Cricetulus griseus: one gene and its partners. The protein of the gene in region 2 interacts with the protein of the main gene of each other region in a biochemical or structural test. Links are inferred from orthologs where the notes say so. Each region holds a gene or a part of one and is shown on either strand. Other genes may lie near its edges.

The links.
Region 1: the proteins of Chek1 (region 2) and Mcm2 form a complex in vitro, tested with the Homo sapiens proteins (2 studies listed by BioGRID, with this or other methods). The link is inferred for Cricetulus griseus from reciprocal best matches to the Homo sapiens genes CHEK1 and MCM2.
Region 3: of the proteins of Chek1 (region 2) and Cdc25a, one has a biochemical effect on the other in vitro, tested with the Homo sapiens proteins (7 studies listed by BioGRID and IntAct, with this or other methods). The link is inferred for Cricetulus griseus from reciprocal best matches to the Homo sapiens genes CHEK1 and CDC25A.

Annotation. Positions count from the first base shown.
Region 1 is NC_048601.1:54,397,980-54,405,303, reverse strand, and holds the start of Mcm2 (DNA replication licensing factor MCM2), read right to left. Parts: upstream 4,118-7,324; 5' UTR 3,970-4,117; coding exon 3,964-3,969; intron 2,972-3,963; coding exon 2,739-2,971; intron 1-2,738. UniProt on the Homo sapiens protein: Acts as a component of the MCM2-7 complex (MCM complex) which is the replicative helicase essential for 'once per cell cycle' DNA replication initiation and elongation in eukaryotic cells.
Region 2 is NC_048597.1:148,657,862-148,664,137, forward strand, and holds the end of Chek1 (serine/threonine-protein kinase Chk1), read right to left. Parts: intron 5,915-6,276; coding exon 5,806-5,914; intron 5,308-5,805; coding exon 5,130-5,307; intron 4,903-5,129; coding exon 4,771-4,902; intron 3,703-4,770; coding exon 3,601-3,702; intron 2,776-3,600; coding exon 2,680-2,775; 3' UTR 1,761-2,679; downstream 1-1,760. UniProt on the Homo sapiens protein: Serine/threonine-protein kinase which is required for checkpoint-mediated cell cycle arrest and activation of DNA repair in response to the presence of DNA damage or unreplicated DNA.
Region 3 is NC_048597.1:217,363,110-217,370,333, forward strand, and holds the end of Cdc25a (M-phase inducer phosphatase 1), read left to right. Parts: intron 1-113; coding exon 114-212; intron 213-1,633; coding exon 1,634-1,696; intron 1,697-1,790; coding exon 1,791-1,889; intron 1,890-2,564; coding exon 2,565-2,695; intron 2,696-4,220; coding exon 4,221-4,332; intron 4,333-4,575; coding exon 4,576-4,716; downstream 4,717-7,224. UniProt on the Homo sapiens protein: Tyrosine protein phosphatase which functions as a dosage-dependent inducer of mitotic progression. Directly dephosphorylates CDK1 and stimulates its kinase activity. Also dephosphorylates CDK2 in complex with cyclin-E, in vitro.

The DNA of each region.
Region 1 (7,324 bases), on a different chromosome or scaffold from region 2:
CAACACCCTCACACAGACATACATGCAGGCAAAACACCAACACACATAAAATAAAGTCATTAAAAAAAAAAATGTCAAGCTGGGCATTGGTGGCACATGACTTTAATCCCAGCATTTGGGGAGGCAGAACTCTCAGTGAGTTCGAGGTCAGCCTGGTCTACATACAGAGTGAGTATACAGAGTGAGTTCCAGGACAGCCAGAACTGTTACACAGAGAAACCCTGTGTTGAAAAACCAAACACACACACACACACACACACACACACACACACACACACACACACACACACACAGCAAAACCAAACCAAATGTTTAAAGAAGAAAATGGAATCAGAGGAAGCCAAGACCTTGACACCAGAAAGGCTTCGGAGCACAGTGGGTCCAGGGGTTATACCCACCTTGTGTCCTCTCCCAACCTGAGCATACCCTTTCTGAAAACCCAGCCAGACTGGCTGCCTGAAAAGCTCACACCTACTGGCTCAACCTTCTGAGCTATTCCAAGACCATCAAGCAGTCTCCTTCCAGGTGACCACTTGTTAGGTACTTGAGGGAAGTACTGTCTAACACAGAGAGCCAGGCAGCGTCTTCCCTGTGATTTGTGAGTCCCAGAGTCCCATCGCATCAGTGCCGTTTCATCTTTGAGTAGGTGATATGATTCTATAGTCCAAAAGGCTGCAAGCTCTTTCCTCAGGGCCTCCCCCCAGGAGCCAGCATCTCCCAGGGAAGCGGACCTCTGGAGTTCTCTTCCTCAGGCTAACTGTTAAGGCTGCCCCCTTTCTCTGGTCAATGTTCCCAAACTACCCTCTCAAAACAAACAATCTCACATCACCAAAGTCATATCAAGTAAAAGTCTATTGAATTATGCAGAATTCACCAATGGTTTCTGAGGAAAGTCTGTTCCGACCCTGAGAGGATTTCAGTCACCCAAAACAGTGACAATTAGTTAGTCTACAGCAAAACACACCAACCAATCTGGGTCTCATGGAATTTCAAAACCTTTATGCCTTAATACAGCATTTCTGGATTAATGAGATGGCTCAATGGCTAAAGACTCGTCTCCAAACCTGATGTGAGTTCAGTCCCTGAAACCCAACAGAGGAAGGAGAAATTTCAACAAGTTGTCCTTTGACCTCCACATGCATGCCATGGCATGTGTAGCAATGCATAAACACACAATGAACAATATAATGAGATATTTTTAAAATACAGTACTAAGAAAATGAGCAGCAGGGTGTGGTGGTGCACACCTTTAATCTCTGGGAGGCAGACGCAGGCAAATCTCTGTGAGTTCAAGGTCAGACTGGTTTACAAAGTAAACAGAATAGTTAGGGCTGTAACACAGAGAAACCCTGACTTGAAACACAAACAAAAAAAATGAGGGGCTGGAAATGGCTCAGTAGTTCAGAGTACTGGCTTCTCTTGCAAAGGACCTGGGTTCATTTCTGGAAACCCACACGGCAGCTCACAACCATAGATTAACTACAGTTTCAGGGGGGTCTGATATCCTCCTCTGGCCTCTGTGGGCATAGGCATGTATGTGGTATATAGATCTATATGCAGGTAAAACACCCATACATTTTTCAAAAAAGACTGAACTTTGAAAGCACTGTGCTGAGTGAAACGTTGGCACAAAAGGACAAGTATCATACGATCCCAGTTCTGGCCACATGCTCAGAACTGGAAGAGCTATGGAGATGAAGAAAGAGATAGTTGGGTGGCTGTGATGGGGCTGGGAACTGGGATCCACAGGCAGGAGGGACCTCAGTGGGGCAACGGAAACGGCGCTCAGAAAGCATGCAGTGAACATCCCTGCGCTGTACTCTTACAAGGGTAAGGCTTATAATACATAAATTAGCCTCTTTCCACACAAACTGTCACTATATCAGATAGTCTTCAGACATCTTTAGGCACCCTCCCCAAGGTCCTCTCACTTTAAAGAGGATGTATAACCCAAGAGTGAAGACAGATAGGGAGGGAGCACAGGGGGAAGCCCTTGACCCTGAGCCCAGGATGATCTGGATCAATTCCTCCCATAGCCAGACACACACCACATAGCTACTCTCAGTTAACTAGTCTTTGCTTAAAGCAAAGAACCGGATGGTGCAGAAGACCCCTGACAGTCCCTCTGATGGCTCACACCTCAGATATCACCCCCCCCCCCCGGGCAAAAAAGGAGCATGCCACAAGGCTCCTAGGTGCCCATATAATTCGTACCTGATCCCAGCTGTAATTGCTGGTAAGGCTAAAGTAGGAATCTAACTGTACTTACTGGCAAAGCTTACACCCGGCTTCCTAGCAGTCAGCCTCCACCTTCAGTAAGTCTGTATATAACCCTGAACACTTCTGACCCAGGGCCTGATGCATGCTGGGTCAAGTTTGACTGACTCTAAACCTTCATTTTCAGAAGCACTACCCAATGTGTTAAGAAAGGCAGAGAGAAAACACTTGCAGTCCACTTCCCATCTTTCTGAGTTGGCATGCCTCTTCAGATCAGACTCTATGGGTCCTCCTCTTCTCCTGAGCTGGGGCTTGCCTGGGCCTTAGGGTCTAGTCTGAGCTGTATATAGTTAGCTAAATGGATCTCCACAGTGTTTGTTGAAACTGTCTCTCCCCAACCTGAACCATGCCACATTCAAAGTTACCAAGTTTATACACTCATGTGCTCCCAAGGCCAGGCCACCAGACACAAGGGTCCTTCTGCTAAACCACCAGCTAGCCAAGACAGAGACTGAAAATACCTCTCCATGCCATCACCAATGAGTTCCTCGCCATCCTCTTCTTCCTCAACAGGCCCCTCAGTGCCCAGCAGCCCCTCAGACTCATCCTCAAATGGAGGGAGGTCTCTGCCAGGGCTGGAGGTAAGGGCATCCGCACGTCTGGAGCTGCGGCCTGGGCTGGAGGTGAGGGGATCACTGATGCGTCGGCGCTGCTGGGCAGGGCTAGATGCTGCCGAGAAGGACTCAGAAGATTCCTGCAAGAGAGGCTGCCATCAGACACAGCAGGGACACAGGCTGACACCCACCTGGCTATCACGGGGCCTTCCCCGCTGGCTGGCAGTCTCCTGTCTGCCAGGCACTGTTCTCAGGGACATGGAAGCCCTTTAGCCTTGAGTCCTTTCCACTTGCTGGGTCCTCTGCTTGCAATGATCTGAGGCCATCAAGGGGCATCTCCGCCCTTACTGGGTCACATCTCTCTTATGAAAAACCAAGGGGGCTATGTAGTTTTGTGGGTTTTTTTGTTTGTTTGTTTGTTTGTTTTCAGCCGTTTATCATCTACTGGAACCTCAACAATATGCTGGGTGCTGGGACAAGAAGTGATGATTAAGAGACATCAAGGAACATGAACTGAAGTCAAGAACAGACCTTTACTCTTTAACAAGTCAGAGTCATGAGCCCCTAACACTAAGAGCAGGGAAGCCGGGCCTGATGTCACAAGTTATGTAATCCCGAATACCCAGAAGTTGAGTCAGCCTGATGATGTCAAGTTCAAAGTTAACCCGAACTACAGAGTGAGTTCAAGATCAGCCTGGCTGATCTAGTGAGACCCTTTCTCTTTCTTTCTTGTTTTAGTTTTTCCAGACAGGGTTTCTCTGTGTAACTGTCCTGGAATTTGCACTGTAAACCAAGCTGGCCTTGAAGACAGAGATACGCTTGCCTTTGCCACCCGAATGCTGGGATTAAAGGGCTGCGCCACTACCGCCCGACTGTGAAACCTTATTTCAACACAAGTGGATTGCGGTGCATGCAGCTACGTGGTAGCGCGCTTTCCCTACACGCGGGAGGTTCTGAGTTCCACTCCCTGCACCCCCACCACCCACAGTGCATGGAGACCAGAGGCCTAGGGCCACGTGTGGGGCGCAGAGACGACCCGTCCCGGACTCAGGCCTGCCACTGGAGGAAAAGACCCGGTAAAGTAGGCCGAGACCGCTGAACACCGCCCGCCCAAGAGAAGCACGCTCCTCACCGCCATTTCTGTGCTCGCTCCGCCGTACCAGCAGCCACCGGTTTTCGCGCGAAAACTGGATCATGTGACCCGCCCTTGCCCGGGAAACTCCGAGAGGAGCCAGACGTCACGACGCCCGCGTCAATCTAGGGCGGGAGGAGGGCTAGAATGTTTGGTCACGCCTACATGAGGCGAGGCCCCGCCCTATTCTCCAGGAGACCGGCCCACAGCATTCAAAAGGCTGCACTCAGGCCGCCTGCACACCTAGGTTTAAAGGGTTTGTCACGCTAAAAGGACGGAGCTGAACTTTGGGTTGCTCGAGGCTCTAAGGACCAATCCGGCCTCCTAAGCTGTGAGACCTTGGTGTCAGTATGGCCACTTGATGCAGCTGAAACTGTTTTCTGATTTCTTCCTGATTTGATACTAACTTCTTCCAAAACTCTGAGATTCAGTCCTTCATGCACTCAGGCTGCTGTGGGCTTTTATCAAAGAGGGAGGGATTCATACTGGCTGGGGTAAGATAGGCTGTATGCGTCCAGTAAGGGACTGCTGTTGTTCCTGTAGTCCTAGACAGCTGAATCTCACGAGGATGGGATTTCTGCTGTATGTCCAGCTTGAATAGTTCTTGGTGCCTTGGGCATGGATGGTTCTTACAGGTCGTAGAGTAGGGCAGGGAGGGGAAGCATGGAAGGAAGCTCAGAAGGTGGCATCTGCAGGCCTCATCATACAAGAGACACCCCGAGGTGCTAAAGGATGAGCATTAGGGAGATGAGTTAGTACAGCAACCCTTCTCGGGCTGGTGGCCTCCCTCAAAGCTGGAAACCCCTGTGCCACCTGGAACTATGTGGGTGACAGCAACATTCACCAGTGTGGAAGGTGCTGCATCTCGATGGAAGAGACTCCAAGAAAAGTCAAGAGCATATTCTGTCACTATGATAGGATACATTTTTTTGAAAAGATGACTGAGTCTGCCCTAGGCTACTAGACCCCTATGAGCTCCAATGAAGACAAGCCCTCATTTCTTCACAGTACTTACCTCTTCCCTTCACAGAATCTCATCGGCCACCACTGGCCCGCCACTCCATGCTCATCCATCCTTACTAGCAAGGTGTCATGGACAAGACAAACCAGAGCCACCTTCTGCCAGACCCCATGACAGCAGAGGGTAGTGGAGTCACCACAGCCCTGGAAGGACCCTGAAGGTGGGCTATCCCTTTCCTGTAATGTGGATGGAAAGAGGCGGGGTTTGCAATGAGTGAAATAGGCATATGGAGGGTCCCAGTGCCCCAACAAGCTTTAGGCTCTGAAGACTGGCACAGCTGTTCACATCCTGCACTGGTGCAAGTCAGGTACACTACCTGATAGATCCCCATTCCTGTGTCTTCCTGGATGCCACACTATCCTGTGTTCAGGGGACACCCCACGGCAAGAGGTTCTTGATGGCCTTGGTTACTCCCCAAATGCCATAAAATCTCCTAGACACATGGAGCCCAAAATTCCGGGGTAGGAAATGCAGAATAGCATATTTTGTTTTTCTGAGACACTGTCTTGTTATGTAGCCCTGGTTGGCCTCAAAATAGAGGTGATTTTCCTGTCTCAGCCTCTAGAGCACTGGAATTATAGGCATGTAATCCCACCACACCCTATTTGCCTAGTGTGACTGATGGTGGTGGCGGTGGGGGCAACAGGCACGGGAGAAAAGGCTCAGCAGTTAAGAGCATGTACTGACTTTGCAGAAGCCCTGAGTTCAATTCATGTGGCCTTTCTCTTTGTAAGTATAGGACAGTGGTGTTCTGACCCCTGGAAGCCAAGGAGGGCCTAGGACACTTTTTTTTTTTTTTTTTGCCATTATTTCTAAGCAGTGTACTGTATTGTCTTGGCAGGAATTTGAGAACTCTTGGTGATTTTCTCTGCCCACTGTGGCTGAGACAACTGCTAACCTGTAGCCAGATTATCCGCCTAAAACCAAAATTGACGTGGGAACCTAATCTGGAAGTGTCAGGGAAGCTATGTCTAACACCAGTCACAAGGAGGCCCAGCCTCATTCCAGTCCCATGGTGCTGTCCTGGGTGATCCTGGGATCCTAAAATAAACAGCTGCCTACACCTTTCGACAGCACTGAGTCAGCCCTCAGAATGCTGCTGGGACACACTATGGGCTGGGTCCTGGGCCACTGGATGCCTGAGAAGGGGCAGACATGTCAATACGGTCACTTGAGGGAGAGACCAGGAAGTTCTCCATGAAGAGAGGGTGTGAGGAGACACAGAGGCCCAGCAGGGGAGGCGAGGCACAAGTTTGAATGTCTACAGGGAAGCTCCTGTGGGTGGCCGAAGTTGTGCAAGATGGGCAGGAGATGGCCTGAAATAAGGCCAGGCCTCTGAGTTGCCCTGGAGGTGTCGCACACCATAGAGTCGTCCGGGAGGTGGAGGTGGGGGGAGGCGACAGTCAGGGAAGGCGTCCCTCTGGAAGGCACCTGCCTACGCGTGAGACCTGGTGTGTTCACTCCCTAGGCCGATGGCTTTGAAAACATCCCTTAACCCCTTCAAGAAACGTCGGGTGCCCTCGGGAAAACGCAACTAATAGTACCCAGCCTTCAAGATGACTGGGACAGGGGGCCTGGAGCCCTGTAAACGCCAGGTCCCTTTGAAGTGGGCAAGCACACCGCGTCCGAGGAAGATCCGCCCTCTCGTCCCTCCTCTCTGGTCCAGGTGACCAGAGGTCACTTTTGCGGGGCGGCGGGTCCCCAAGGCTCCACCTTCGGAGAGGTGGGGCGAACCGGTCGGAGGACCAGAGCCGACCGCAGGAATAGATGACCGCAGGAAGATGCATGGCAAAGCCGGAGCGTGCTCGGTGCGCTGTCCCGACACGCGTTAGGGGTGAGCGGGGCAGAGATTCTTCTGCGGGTAGAAGTTTCTGTCACCCACACTTCTCCGGGGCAACTGCAGGCTTACTGTAGAACCTTTAAGAGCTCCGCGGTCGGCCTCGCCCTCCGAGGCATTTTATTGGCCAGTTCCACTCTGGGAGGGACTCCGTTACGATTGGCTGCTGCCGGAGGCCGGGGGCGGGACTGAGTGCCACAAACAGGGGTCGTGACTGTTTTCGCCGCTTTGCCTAGACGAAAAACACCAGTCTGGGCGCCGGCCAGTCGCTGCTGCCGGGGAGGGCCAGGGGAGTCCTCGGGTCCTGTGGGTTCTGCGGGTGCTGCGCGCTGGCGGCGTCCGGCCTCCTGCGACCGACCCGAGGCGAACCTCAGCCGCGGCTCTTGCGCGACGCTCCCCGGGTCTCGCAGCCTACCGGGAGTCGGAGCCCCGCGGCCTGCGCAGCCCGGCTCTCAGGTAATCGCTGCCGGGTCTTCATCTCCTCCTGCGCTAAGCTAGTGGGG
Region 2 (6,276 bases):
AAGAAATGCTAAAGATGGTTCCTTCAACCTGAAATGAAAGGATGCCAGACAACAGAAAAAAAAAACAAAAAACAAAAAACAAAAACAAAAATACATGATATAAAGACCTCTGTAAAGATAATCATAAAAATCCTAGCTTAAGGATATAGTTCAATGATAAAGTGCTTTCCTGGCTTGAATGTGGCCCTAGGTTGGATCAACAAAAATATAACAACAATTATTTAAAAGCCAAGTATATGGAAGATAGCTATCAGCTCACCTTCCAAGTAAAAGCAGGCATGGTACCACTCATGTATAATCCCAGCTCTTGAGAGGCAGAGACAGGAAAATGAGGAATTCAAAGCCATCCATTCATATAGAGCAAATTAAAGGCCAGTCTAGATTACATGAAATCCTGCTTCAAAAGAACAAAAAAGAAAACATAGATCTATTGTAGTGTACATACAGGCAAAGATACAATTTTTTATATTAATAAAATTACATGGGGAGGACAATGCAGCTGTAAATATAGTTGTTCTGTCACAGTCAAGTTAGGCAAGGCATACTACGCAATCCCAGTACTTGGGTCACTAAGGCAGGAGGGGAAAAGAACCAGCCTAAACAGATAGTGAGTTCAAAGCCAGTCTGAGCTACATAGTCAGACCCTGTCTCTTAAAAAAAAAAAAAGTTGTTATTAATTTTAAATAGTTGCTGGGTGGTGGTGCATGCCTTTAATCCCAGAACTTAGGATGGATCTCTGTGAGTTTGAGGCCAGCCTGGTCTACAGATTGAGTTGCAGGGCAGCCAGGACTCAGGACTGTTATATAGAGAAACCTGTTTGGGGGAGTGGGTAGGGGTTAAATATATTGTTCTACTTTACAAGAAAAGATAAAGAATAAAAATAATATAGCTACTATGGCAAACAATATTATAGTGCCCAAAAATATTAAAAACACAATTATCACATCACCTAGAAATTCTACCTCTGGGTATACACACAAAAGAATTAAAAACAGAGACTTGAGCAGATATTTATATATCCATTTTCACACCAGTATCATTTACAGTGGACAAAAGGTGGCAACAATCCAAACATACAAGAGTAAGTGCACATGTGCGGGGGAGGGGGGCATATGTGTGCGCACGCAGACACAACACAGGCACACATGCACACACGTGCACTGTGGAATATTAGTCACAGAAAGGAATGAAACCTGATATACGTTATAACATAGATAATTCCTGAATACAGAAGTATGAAATAAGCCAAACAAATACCCAATTCTATTTATGGTAATTACAGGAGCATTCAAATTCATGGAGACAAATAGCAAAATGGTGGATGCAAAGGGCTGACAGGAAGCAGTAAGTCATGATTTGATAGACACAGGCTCTGGAGACAGTACTACATAACATCAGATGAAGAGACAATCACATAGAACTGTACAGCTCAGACCAAACTCGGAAATTTAAGTGTGATGAAAAGTTGTAAATGTGGGAGTGGGACCGTAGAAGTATCATTCTGATAGCTTTTCTAGAAAATAAACTACCAAGGAATAAGTAACAGTATTAAAAAGATGACCAATTTTAACCACTGTGGTACTACAATGTGGAAAACAGGAGACTGAATAGACTGGGTTCCAGTTAATTTCTGTGTCTAGGAGAGGTAAGTAAGCCGGCATACGCCAATATGTAACACACATTAGCCACAAAATTGTAAGTGTTCTTAGCTTCAGACTCATTGTAATTTATCTACAAAAAGGAATACAAGACCCCAATCATATAATTCATATTTTAATATAAATTTTATGAACAAAACAAAGCTTTAGTGAGTCTAGAAGGCAAGGAACAAGAATCAGGCCAATTCTTGTGTTTCCTTACTACCCCATCTCCTTTTCCGTCAGTGTCATCTAGAAACTTGAGGCCAATAAGTTCACTGAGTTAGGCATTGATTTTGAAAACAGAATTTATTTCTAGAGTAAAAATATGGCTGTGAATGTAAAAAAAAAAATTAAGTGTGTAAAAATTAGAGTAAAGTAAGATAAGCACTGGAGCTTATGTTCAACTTCTTGAAAGACCAACCAGTACTTTATATTTGACTAGCTACACCAGAAAAAAAAACAAATCTTGTAATTTTAATCATTATAACTCAAAAACAGTTTTATATAACTGGTCAAGCCCTTGTATGATACATACACCCAAACTAAAAATATAGTACATATCTCAGGATACATTTTTTGTAGCAAGCCTCACTTCATGGACCAATCAACTGCACATGGTCTGTTTATTCCTTTTTACAATTAAATAGCAGAAAAGAAATATGTTTTCTTAGGATGAAACAAAATGTTCCTTTTTTTTTTTTTCAGAAGTGATACTACATTGGTATAAAAGCTGGATAAAAGCTGGAAAACTCATGTATCCCAAAACTTAATTTCTACCAGATAGTTTTCAAATTCAGACAATTTAAACACAGCTGGAGAAATACCCAATGAATTTGATCCATCCTTTCCCCAAAGTATTACATACAATTAAGATACAGTATTATATGTATGCAAAACATACTAAGAATTGGAAGATGTTTGGGTAATAGGAAGAGAACTCTTCAAAAAACTATTGTTTGCAGGACAATCTTCTCTAGGAAGAATAATGTCAACATAGCAGCACTATATTCACCAGGAAACCCCGGAGTTGACAGCTTCATCATGTAGCAGGAAACCAAACCTTCTGGCTGCTCACAATATCACCGAGTTTCCCTTTGATCTTCAGGAAGTGTCTCTTGAACTCTAATCCATCACCCTATTTTAGGAATATTTTTAAAAAATAAAAAAAGGCTGTGTCAAAGATCATATTCTCATTTCTGGTCAGTAGAAACAAACACCCTTAGATACATCCAGTTATGGCATCCTCATGTCTTCTTTTTTCCCTTCTCCCTGTTCTTCTGAGAATACTGGATTTCAGGTATGTACCACTCTAGCTTAGTTATTCATTCCATATAAATCTATAGCATTTTGGCTTACTTGAGCAGGCTATTATAGCATCTTATGGGTTCTTCATTAATAATTTATTAAATGCAAACTGAATCCAGTCCACTTGTGAAGACCAACAATTCTAGTGGAAATGGCTACCTTGGCAATTCTCACCTGATTATGTGCTCTTCACTTTCCACACTGAGCAGAGAAAGAATAATGGCTTTTTTTTTTTTTTCTGTTTCAAGGGCTAGTACCTTTGGACCTATACCAATTGTTTTCCATAAGCAGCAGGAGTTGGTGAACTAAACCCAAGCCACATTGAAGTTTTATCATTAAAAAAAAAATTCCACTAAACTTAGTTATGACAACAGTTTTAATAGAGGAGAAGCCTTCATAATGGAATTACATACCAAGAATATAGAAAACAATACTGCAGCCAGGCCAGGCGGTGGTGGCGCACACCTTTAATCCCAGCACTCAGGAGGCAGAGGCACTCGGATCTCTGTGAGTTTGAGACCATCCTAGTCTACAAAAGCTAATTCCACAACAGCCTCCAAAGCCACAGAGAAACTCTGTCTCGAAAAACCAAAAAAAAAAAAAAAAAAAAAAAAAAAAAAAAAAAAAAAACTATAAATGAAACATAAAAAAATACCTTTGAAAGCCGGAAGTCAACCAGTATCTTCTCATCCATTTCTACCAAATTTATTTTGAAAATCAACTTATTGTTTCTTCTATCAGTTGTTGATACAGTAACCTAAGGCAATAAAAATAAAGTCAAGCCACACACACACACACACACACACACACACACACAAACAGAAAATACTCTTAACGAAATATCTGTTATCAACAGGTCGGTAATACTTTTGGGATAAAAATGTATAGTAAAATCCTCGCATGACAGGAGTGGCATGAAGAACACTATAAATTACAGGGCTAGAAAGGCAGCTCAGGTTAAGAGCACTTGATGCTCACTCTTCCAGAGGACCTGAGTTCCATTTTCAGCACCCATGTCAGGAGGCTCCCAATCTCCTGTAATTCTAGCTCCAAAGGGTCTGATGCCTCTATAACAGACACTGACACACAGATGCACAGACATAGTCGTGTACACATAAGAGTAAAAATAAATCTTAAAAAAATAAAAAAAGACTGCTATAACTCTCTCCAATGGGCACCTTTGCATCTAATCTAAACCAAGCTGTAAGTAGAACTCAGTCTAAGTGTACTTTCAGCAACAAAGCAGAACTGAAAAAAAGAAATGACTGAAAGGAATAGGAATATCATGAAGACTAGAGATATAGCTTGGTGGCAGGGCATTTGCCTAACATGAATAAGGCCTGAGTTCAATCCCCAATACTATAGTCAAACAATCAATCTCATATATGAAAAAGAAAACAAGAAGCTGTCTCTATGGCTGAAAAGCTGCAATAACAACAAGGTGACGGTGAAGGCCTGGAGAGGTCTTGCAACTCCCATTTCAGTTCCTCATTCCTGTTCACTTGTGTTTTTTTTTTCAGATATTCTCACAGACTATAAGGTAGTTCAGCCAAGATGACTGATGTGAAAAAAACAAAAGGCACAGACAAGAGCCAGGGCAAGTAAGACCCAAACATGGAGATAAGGACATCGTCAACTGCAGCTTAATATAAAAATACTAACCTTAGAGGTTTTGGACAAAAACAAAAACCTTAAAGCCTTCAACTGTTTCTTTTTCAAATTGATTATTTGTATTTTCAAAACATTCACTGACTACTGATATCTTTTATTTAAATACTTATAATTTTCTATGGTTAAAAAGATACTGAAAACTAACAAAACACACCTGATTCATACAACTCTTCTTCCACTGATAGCCCAACTTCTCAAAGGTCTCTTTCAGGCACTGGTAAGATTTGTCTGCATCCAATTTGGTGAAGAAGCGTGTCATTCTTTTGACCAAGCGCTGCCAGGGGTTCTATACCACAAAGAAGAAAGCAGGATAAATTCCATGTGACCAGTTTATAGCAGTTAGTCTGAAATTCTTTCCCTTGACTTTGGATTCTCACCCATAAAGGCCTCCTCTAATTATTTCTTCCTTATGCAAATAATATGCATCAACTAAAAGTATTAATCCCATAGGCCAAGATTTAACAACAAAAATAAAAGGTAACAGTTATTTATTTGAAAAACTAAATTCCTTACCTGTGAGGATCCAGGGGTACCGAGTAACTGACTGTTTACAAGCATATGATCAGGGCATGTAGGCTGTGAGAAACTGATGCCTTGTACAAGTTTGTCAACATATGAGGGACCAGTGTCCCACAAGGAAAGCCCTGTCGGTGGCTCTGGCTGGGAACTAGAATACTTCACATTTTCTTCACTGAAAAGGAAAAAAGAAATGTCTTTAATTGTCTGTTTTTAAGGTGATTTCATTCATTTTAACAACTTATTTTGTGTCTTTTTTTTTTTTTTTTTTTTTTTTTTGAGACAAGATCGCATCTTGCCATCTTGCTGCCTAGACTGGCCTGCAACTGTCCATCTTCCTGACTCAGCCTCTAATTTGCAGTTATCTGTAATTATATCATGTGTGCTACAGTATTAGCCTAAAAATGTCTTTAAATAAAACCCACCAGGCCTTTCTTATATCACAACTGTTCTTATTTTTGGTGAAATTATTTGCCTAATTAAGTAAAATATATACATGTTTTATTGTTTATGGGGAATAATCACATTAAAAAAAAAAACAACAACAACTTAATCTGCCAATGTATGGTGGTGCACACCTGAAATCCCAACTCTCAGGAAGCAGACACAGGAGGATTAGTACAAGTTCAAGACCAAGTTCCAGTTCAGTTAAAATTATTAATGTAATTCTTACCTGGAAGCATTATTTACAGGAGAAAAGTCCAAATTGGAATGAATCTGCTTAGAGAATCCACTAGAAGACTCTGGCATACCACCTGAAGTGGCTCGAGGCCTCTTTGCTCCTAAAAAGGAACAAATACAAATCTTCTATGAAAGTATTAACTAATACAACGGGCAATTTGAATAAGGAGAGCCATATGTAAATCCATTTATTGAACATAAAATATATAAAAAGAAATGTTACATTAGTGCTTCACTAACGCCATAATTTTAACAACCTCTTTTATGAGTAACATGACGGTCAACAAAGGACTAGCTAAACAACTAAAACTTTTAAAATTTTTAAATAATTCATTATTATGAGCGTAAACACTGAATCTGCTCCAACTGATACCCCCTTGAAGAAGCTTTCTGCCATGATACAGAAATGAAGCCACCTTAAATTTTCATTCCTCAGCTAGACTGTCATCTCACACTTCCTCAA
Region 3 (7,224 bases), about 69 Mb from region 2:
TTTTACTTAATGTGGGTATTCATAATTCAGTCTCCTTTTGTCATGGTCAAGGTAAATATTTTGGAGTTCTAGTTAAAACTCTGGTGTCACCCTCTACCTTTGGTTTGTTACAGCTTCTACACCAGTCTTTATCCCTGACATCCTCACCCAAAGGAACCATTGAGACCATTTTGGACAGTGACCCAAGAGACCTTATAGGAGATTTCTCCAAGGTAATTGCAAGAAGAGTTGGATAGTACTGAGGAAGTGATGGGGGTAGCTAGAACCCCACTTAGCCTTTCTCCTTCAAGGTGGCTCCTGGGGTGCCTCCAAAGCAACATTTTAAAAAGTTAAAGATAGGGAACAAATTGAGCTTCTAATGATAAGGTACATGTTGGTCTTTGAGACTGTGGTTTCCTGTTGGCTATCTGCCTTCACTCTGACCCATAATGCAGGTTCTCTGGGAACTGAACTTCTGACTATAAAAATAGTATGCATATACAACCATGCTTTGAGTCCATATGTTGAAAGGTATCTTAGAAGGTCCAGATTTTCTGGGTGGTGGTGGTGCATACCTTTAATTCCAGCACTTAGGAGGCAGAATTTGCCAGTCTGATCTACCTAGTAAGTTCCAGGATAGTGGGACAATATAGAGACCCTGTCTCAAAAAAATAAAAAGAGAACGGGGAGTTTGGAGAGAAGAACAACCAAGGGCTTGTGTAACCTTCAACGAGTTGAGACTGTTGGTGGTTTTTAATATGGTCATGGGTAGGCTCTTAACTTGGCCAGTTATCCTCTAAGTAACGTTACTGTGTTCGTCTTTCTTAAGGTTGGACCAAGGTTGTTTTCCCATTCTCACTGCCCATCTCCCCTGGGCAACCACGTGCTAATTAGATGAGCAAATTGTCTTCACTTCTGAGGTGGGGTCTCACTATTTAGCCCAAGCGGACCTTAGACGCATATCGCCTTCCTCGGGCTCCCAGTGCTGGGTTACACAGTATATAGTACCATGCCTATGTTTTGTTACAGAGTCTCATATCCCCAATTGGCCTCATGTTCACACTCAGGCTGGAGTTGAATTCATGGATCCTCCTACTTCTTCCTCCCAAAGGCTATTATTACAGACCTGAGCCACTATAGACCGGGCTGGCCTGGAACTCATAGAGATCCTCCTACCTCTGCCTCCCAAGTGCTGGAATTATTAAAGGCGTGCGCCACCACTGCCTGGCTCTTTGCTGCATTTTTAGGTCTTCATACTTTAACCACTAAGATGAGAGTTCCCTTTTAAAAACAAGAGAAAGGGGAAATCACCTACAATTTCTGTCTTCAAATCTAGCCTCAGTTCCAAGCCAGCCAGGCTTGTGCTGTCTCAAAGGCTCATTTCTTTAATCCCAGGAGCAGACACACCTCTGGGTTTGGAGCCAGACTGGTCTACATAATGAGACCATTCCTCCTTAAACAAATAACAATTAAATATCCGAGTGTTGGTGCATAGAAGGGTAGTTAGCATATACTATTCACTTGTTCATATACTATTCATTTGTTTCTGGGTTTGTTTTTTTGGGCTGCTCCCTACCAGCTGGGCAACAGAGGAAACGACATTTGCAAGCTTTCACGTTCCTTCCCCTGAGTATCTTCTGTTCCTTTTTTAAAGGGTTATCTCTTTCATACAGTCTCTGGGAAGCATCAGGATTTGAAATATATTTCTCCAGAAATTGTAAGTCACATTTGTGGAACCCACTGCACACGGGGGTTGGAATCTTGTTATGTGACTGCCACCATTGACACCCCACCCTCCTTTTTCTTCATAGATGGCATCTGTTTTGAATGGCAAGTTTGCTAACCTCATTAAAGAGTTTGTTATCATTGACTGCCGATATCCATATGAATATGAAGGAGGTCACATCAAGGTTTGGATTCTTGAGACTTATCGTGGGTGGCTTAGAGGAGGGTTATTGACACCTCTCAGCTGATGGTGAGGATTTAGAACAAGCCAGAAGATGTGAGTTCCTGCAGTGCTCTCCTTGTCTGCCCCTCACTCTGTGCTGTTTCAGGGCATTTCTAGGTGGCATCCCTGACATCTAAGCCATTCAGTGGAGCCACAAAGTGCTCCATAGTATTTGAAATCTTAAATATAAATATTTGACCATCCCAGAGCTCCTGACTAAAAGACGCCATTCTGGCAACATGCCTTGGTATCTGTACCGGGCCTCTATTCTTTAATCAAACAGCCAAATTGGTGGAGGGACATGTTGGAATACATGTTTCTGGTCATACCACTTTAATATTACCTTATAAATTAATTTAATATTACCTTATAAAGCAGTGTTTAAATGTGGTGTAGGGGGTATTACCTTCTAACTTTATGAAGTGACCTTGGAAATAATTTCCAGTTTTCATATTTGTTACTGATCTATAGAGAAAGCCTATAGACCTATAGAGAAAGCCTCATTGAGATACAAAAGTCTACTGGACTGCTGTGCCAGGAGACCTGCAGAATCACAAATTACTCTGAGGAGCTGGCTCCCTCTTTGAGTCTTCAAGTGTGATTCAGCAGATGTTAAAAGTATCTGGTGTCTTCAAAGGGTGCCGTGAACTTGCACATGGAAGAAGAGGTTGAGGAGTTCTTACTCAAAAAACCTATTGTACCTACTGATGGCAAGCGTGTCATTGTCGTATTCCACTGTGAGTTTTCTTCTGAAAGAGGCCCTCGCATGTAAGTACTACAGAGAATAAGACTTGGGGGTAGAGGGTTCATGTTGTTTTTGTTGAGCCTGGTAGTATGTTCCTTTTTCACTAGTGGTATAAGTGTAGTATGTCACACACCCTGTTGTGAGACCAATGGTGAGTCTAATGTGTTTGACCTTTGTCCCCTTTGGCTCACCAAGAATAGAGGAGTAGATACCTGCTATGTAGCAGATACTACTAAGATAATAAAATGGAGCCATTCATTAAAGATACAGTGGTGAGGCTGAACATGTGTGGTGGCAGGGAAAATGATCCGGGTGGCAGGTCCAATCCTGAGTAATAGTAAATACATCCAAACTGGCAGTACTTAACCTTTACTAAGAAAGAGACACTCCATAGAATGGGAGTAGGCTCAGAAGACCAGGTCTTGGTCTTGGGCGTGCTTTGCTCTTTGGGTATACTGCTGGGGTTGAAAGCAGGTCCCTGGTGTGCTGGACAGGCACTGCTGCACTCCTCCCTTTGCTGAAGTTATACGAGCTTGTGGTTTCATCTTGCTGTTCTGCCACATTTACATACATTCCATTCATAACTACAGCAGGGCACTATTGTATAAGAATTCAAGGCCAGTCTGGACTATGTAGTGAGATCCTGTCACCAAAAAAGAAAGAAAAAACCAAACAGACAGAAACATATGAACAGATAACAAACATTTGCACAGGACCTGAATAGTCACACATGAATGGAAATTATCAGGAACTTGCATCCCAGTCTTCATAAGCTTGGCAGTCCTCTAAGCAATAACAGTATAAAACAAGGACAGCCTCCAAAGCCACAGAGAAACCCTGTCTCAAACAAAACAAAAAACTAAAACCCTGCCTTTCTGGAGGTCACATTCGGAGAAAGCAGGAGGCAGAGAAGCATAAGAAATACTTAGAACTTTCAGGCGGGAGAGATGGCTCAGAGGTTAAGAGCACTGGCTGCTCTTCCAGAGGTCCTGAGTTCAATTCCCAGCAACCACATGGTGGCTCACAACCATCTGTTATGAGATCTGGTGCCCTTTTCTGGTGTGCAGATATACATGGAAGCAGAATGTTGTATACATAATAAATAAATAAATAAAACCTTTAAAAAAGGAAAAGAAAAGAAATACTTAGAACTAACTATGCAAAATGTTCACAAGTCCTTCAAAAGGAGGTCAGAGGTGGAAGCTCCTGGGCGGAAGAGAAGATCAGAGTGGGATGGGGGCGAGGCCGTCGAGGCAGCACATCTGTAGGCACAACTGCACCTTGTCTACAGGTTTGGGCAGGGTGGACCATTGAGACAAGAGCTTCCAGTGGTCACTTCTGTGCGGGGTTCCAGTAGGTACTCCCAGGAAGTAGACACCCTAGTCTGTCTAAAGGCACAGAAAGGGTTCTACTTCAATAGGAGGTGAGTGGGGAGGCGAGTGAGTTGGTTCAGAGCTGCTGCAGGCAGTGTTATTAGCGCGTGCTTAGGAAGGAGTGAGTGCCTGAAACACCACTGTTCTCACTGTTGTCTCCATTCCTTTTCGCTAGGTGCCGATATGTGAGAGAAAGAGATAGGCTTGGCAATGAATACCCCAAACTCCACTACCCCGAGCTGTATGTCCTAAAGGGGGGATACAAAGAGTTCTTCCTGAAATGCCAGGTGAGGCATCTATGAATAGCATGTCTCTGTGCCTATGCTGGACCAATAAATCAGTTGTTGCGGCTGCTTGGGTGGGGGTGGGGTCTGGAGACAAGCCGAGCATCCTCTAAGCACCAGGCTCCTGTAGAACTTGTTGGCCCTTGCTTCTTGCTTCTCACAGCCTTGCAGCTCTAGGCAGGGGTTAGCCAGACTGTGAGGCAGTTCATGTCCTGACTTTGTTCCCTCATTCTCACGTCCCTATAGTCTCACTGTGAGCCCCCCAGTTACCGACCAATGCACCATGAAGACTTTAAAGAAGACCTGAAGAAGTTTCGTACCAAGAGCCGGACCTGGGCAGGGGAAAAGAGCAAAAGAGAGATGTATAGTCGCCTGAAGAAGCTTTGAAGCCAGACAGCAGCAGCCATATTTCCCTCTGCCCCTTTCCTTTCCCTTTGCTGCAGAGCAGGAAGCAAAGGAGCCAGCTGCGGTACACGGAGAAAGACACAGGCCTTCCGTGCCTTAATCCTGTCTCCTACACTCCCAGGTTGGAGCCCAGGGCTCTCCTGTCCTATAAGATTCCTTCCCTGTCAGGACTATCTGCCAGAGCTGGATACACCACAGCGCAGACCAGAGTCTACAGTCTAGAGCGCCGTGTCAAGCTGCTCTGACTGAGCGTCCCATGCATGAAGAGTAGCTAGGGCCTTATTCGGCAGACCCTGGCCGCCTGTCATGAGGGGAGAGAAGTGACAAACAGAAGTGCTGCTGGCCAAATACCAAAGATAGGCTGGAAGGGAGAGAGAGGTCTTTGTGGATGACCCATAACTTTAATTTATTCAGCTTCATCGATTATTTTATTATTTTTTTAATTCCTCAAGACTTTTACTTTACTGCTTCATTAAGTCAAAATACTGCCATCCTAGGTAGAGTTTTATCATTCCAGGAACTACCTCTACTTTTAATTTAAAAAAAAAAAAAAATTGGGGCAGGGATAAGAATAGGCAAACCTGTTGTGGACAGCGCTAGGAGCTCAGTCACCCCTAGGAGGCACTGTGAACTGGGATTGCTGCTACTCAAAGTCAAGGACTGAGATGCTGGTAAGAGCCTGCACCAGATCCAGGCTTGGCTACAGGACATAAGCTAACCTTCCCAGACCGCCCTCTGTCCTTTGTGATGTCCTTGGGGAAGTTTTAGATCCACTCCAGGTTCCCACGATGGTGGCTTCTATAGGAGTCCCAGGAAAGCACTTCAGGCAGCTTCCTTCTGGCCATCCCAGGCCAGTGCTGGAATGCTGTGGTTAGTGTAGGTGCCCCAGGGTGAGAGTGGGGAGGAATGAGTGGAGTCCACTGGGGAGGGAGGAGCATGCTCACTGAATGTCCTTTGGGAAAAAAAAAAAGTCATTGTATGAGTTGAGGAGTATCAAATCATTGTTGGGTGGGCACCCAAGGGTGAGAAGGGGGCGAAGAAGCCCAGACCATTGGGTGGAAGGAGTCGGTCCTGGCCTACAGATGACTGTAGACTTTCTCAGGAGGAAGTGGTAAATTTTGAAGTAAAATGTTCTGGGTTTATCATGTTTTAATTTGAGGGACAGGGAGTGGTAAATCACACCAGTTACCCCCTTAATCTAACCCCATGGAGGTGAGGCTCTCGAGGGAACATCTCCATCTGAGGAGCTGGGCTGTGCTTTAGTTGTGTGCAGCCTATTTTGGTGTCTGTCCATCAACATTTCCGGGCAGCAGTCTCCTGGTCGGTCATCTTTGCTCCGCTGGGGTCTAGCCAGGTTTTTCTTAGGGACAGTCTCCCCTCTTGCCTCTTTCTATTCTGGGGGTGGGGAGGGAATCAGTGATATTGAAGATGGCTAGTTGTTTGTTATGGGTTTGAGTTACATTTGGCTATAAAAACAAATCTTGTTGGAAAATACATGGAGAACAAGGGAATGAGCAGCCTCTTCCCCAGTGTTGAAATGTGTCCCAATTAGTCTCTGGTTTGTAGAGATTCTGTTAGTTGAAGGAGAATGGCTTTTGGATTGTACCAGCTTAGCTAGCATTGTTAACCAACTGTTGAAGGCTCTGCAAATAAAAGTGACCTTGAACCCATAGTCTCTGCCTAGTTCCTAATATACTCAAAGGGGACTTTTAATTTTCACTTAATGTTCTAGGGTCAACGAACTAAAACTGACGCAACCATATTTCCTCGGGGATAAATAGATACAGTTTGGTTTCAGCAATGGCTGAAACAATCCCATTATCACTAAAATGTGCTCAGTGATTGACAGGATGAAATGGACATGTCTTAGGCACTGCAGTGTGCACTCTAGATCGCTGCACTCTGGGCATAGGCCAGGGTCACATGATGCAACCATGTCTCAAAATAGTTTCTTTGCCAGGTGGTGACACATGCCTTTAATCCCAGCACTTGGGAGGCAGAGACAGGTGGATCCCTTGAGTCTGAGGACAGCCAGGGGTACACAGAAATCCTGTCTCAAAAGAAAAAAAAAATGGGCTAGAGAGATGGCTGAGAGGTTAAGAGCACTAGCTGTTCTTCCAGAGGTCCTGAGTTCAATTCCTAGCAACCATATGGTGGCTCACAGTCATCTATCAAAATCTGGTGCCCTCTTCTGTCCTGCAGGCAAACTTAACAGGCAGAACACTGTACATAATATATTTGAAAAAAAAAAATTCCCAGTCCTTGGGAGGTAAAAGAGCAGATTGGAATTCAATTCTGTCACATGTTAGAGAAGCAACTCAGTCCCTTGAGTTGTCTGGCACATGTATGTCCATGCTTAGTTAATGTTTTGTGTGTAAATTCCTTCAACTCCAGCTACTTACAGGCCAAAGCAGGAAGATATTAAGATCAAGACCAGAGTTGGCACCTTAGCGAGACTTAATCTCAAAAAGATTTAAAGGCCTGGAATGG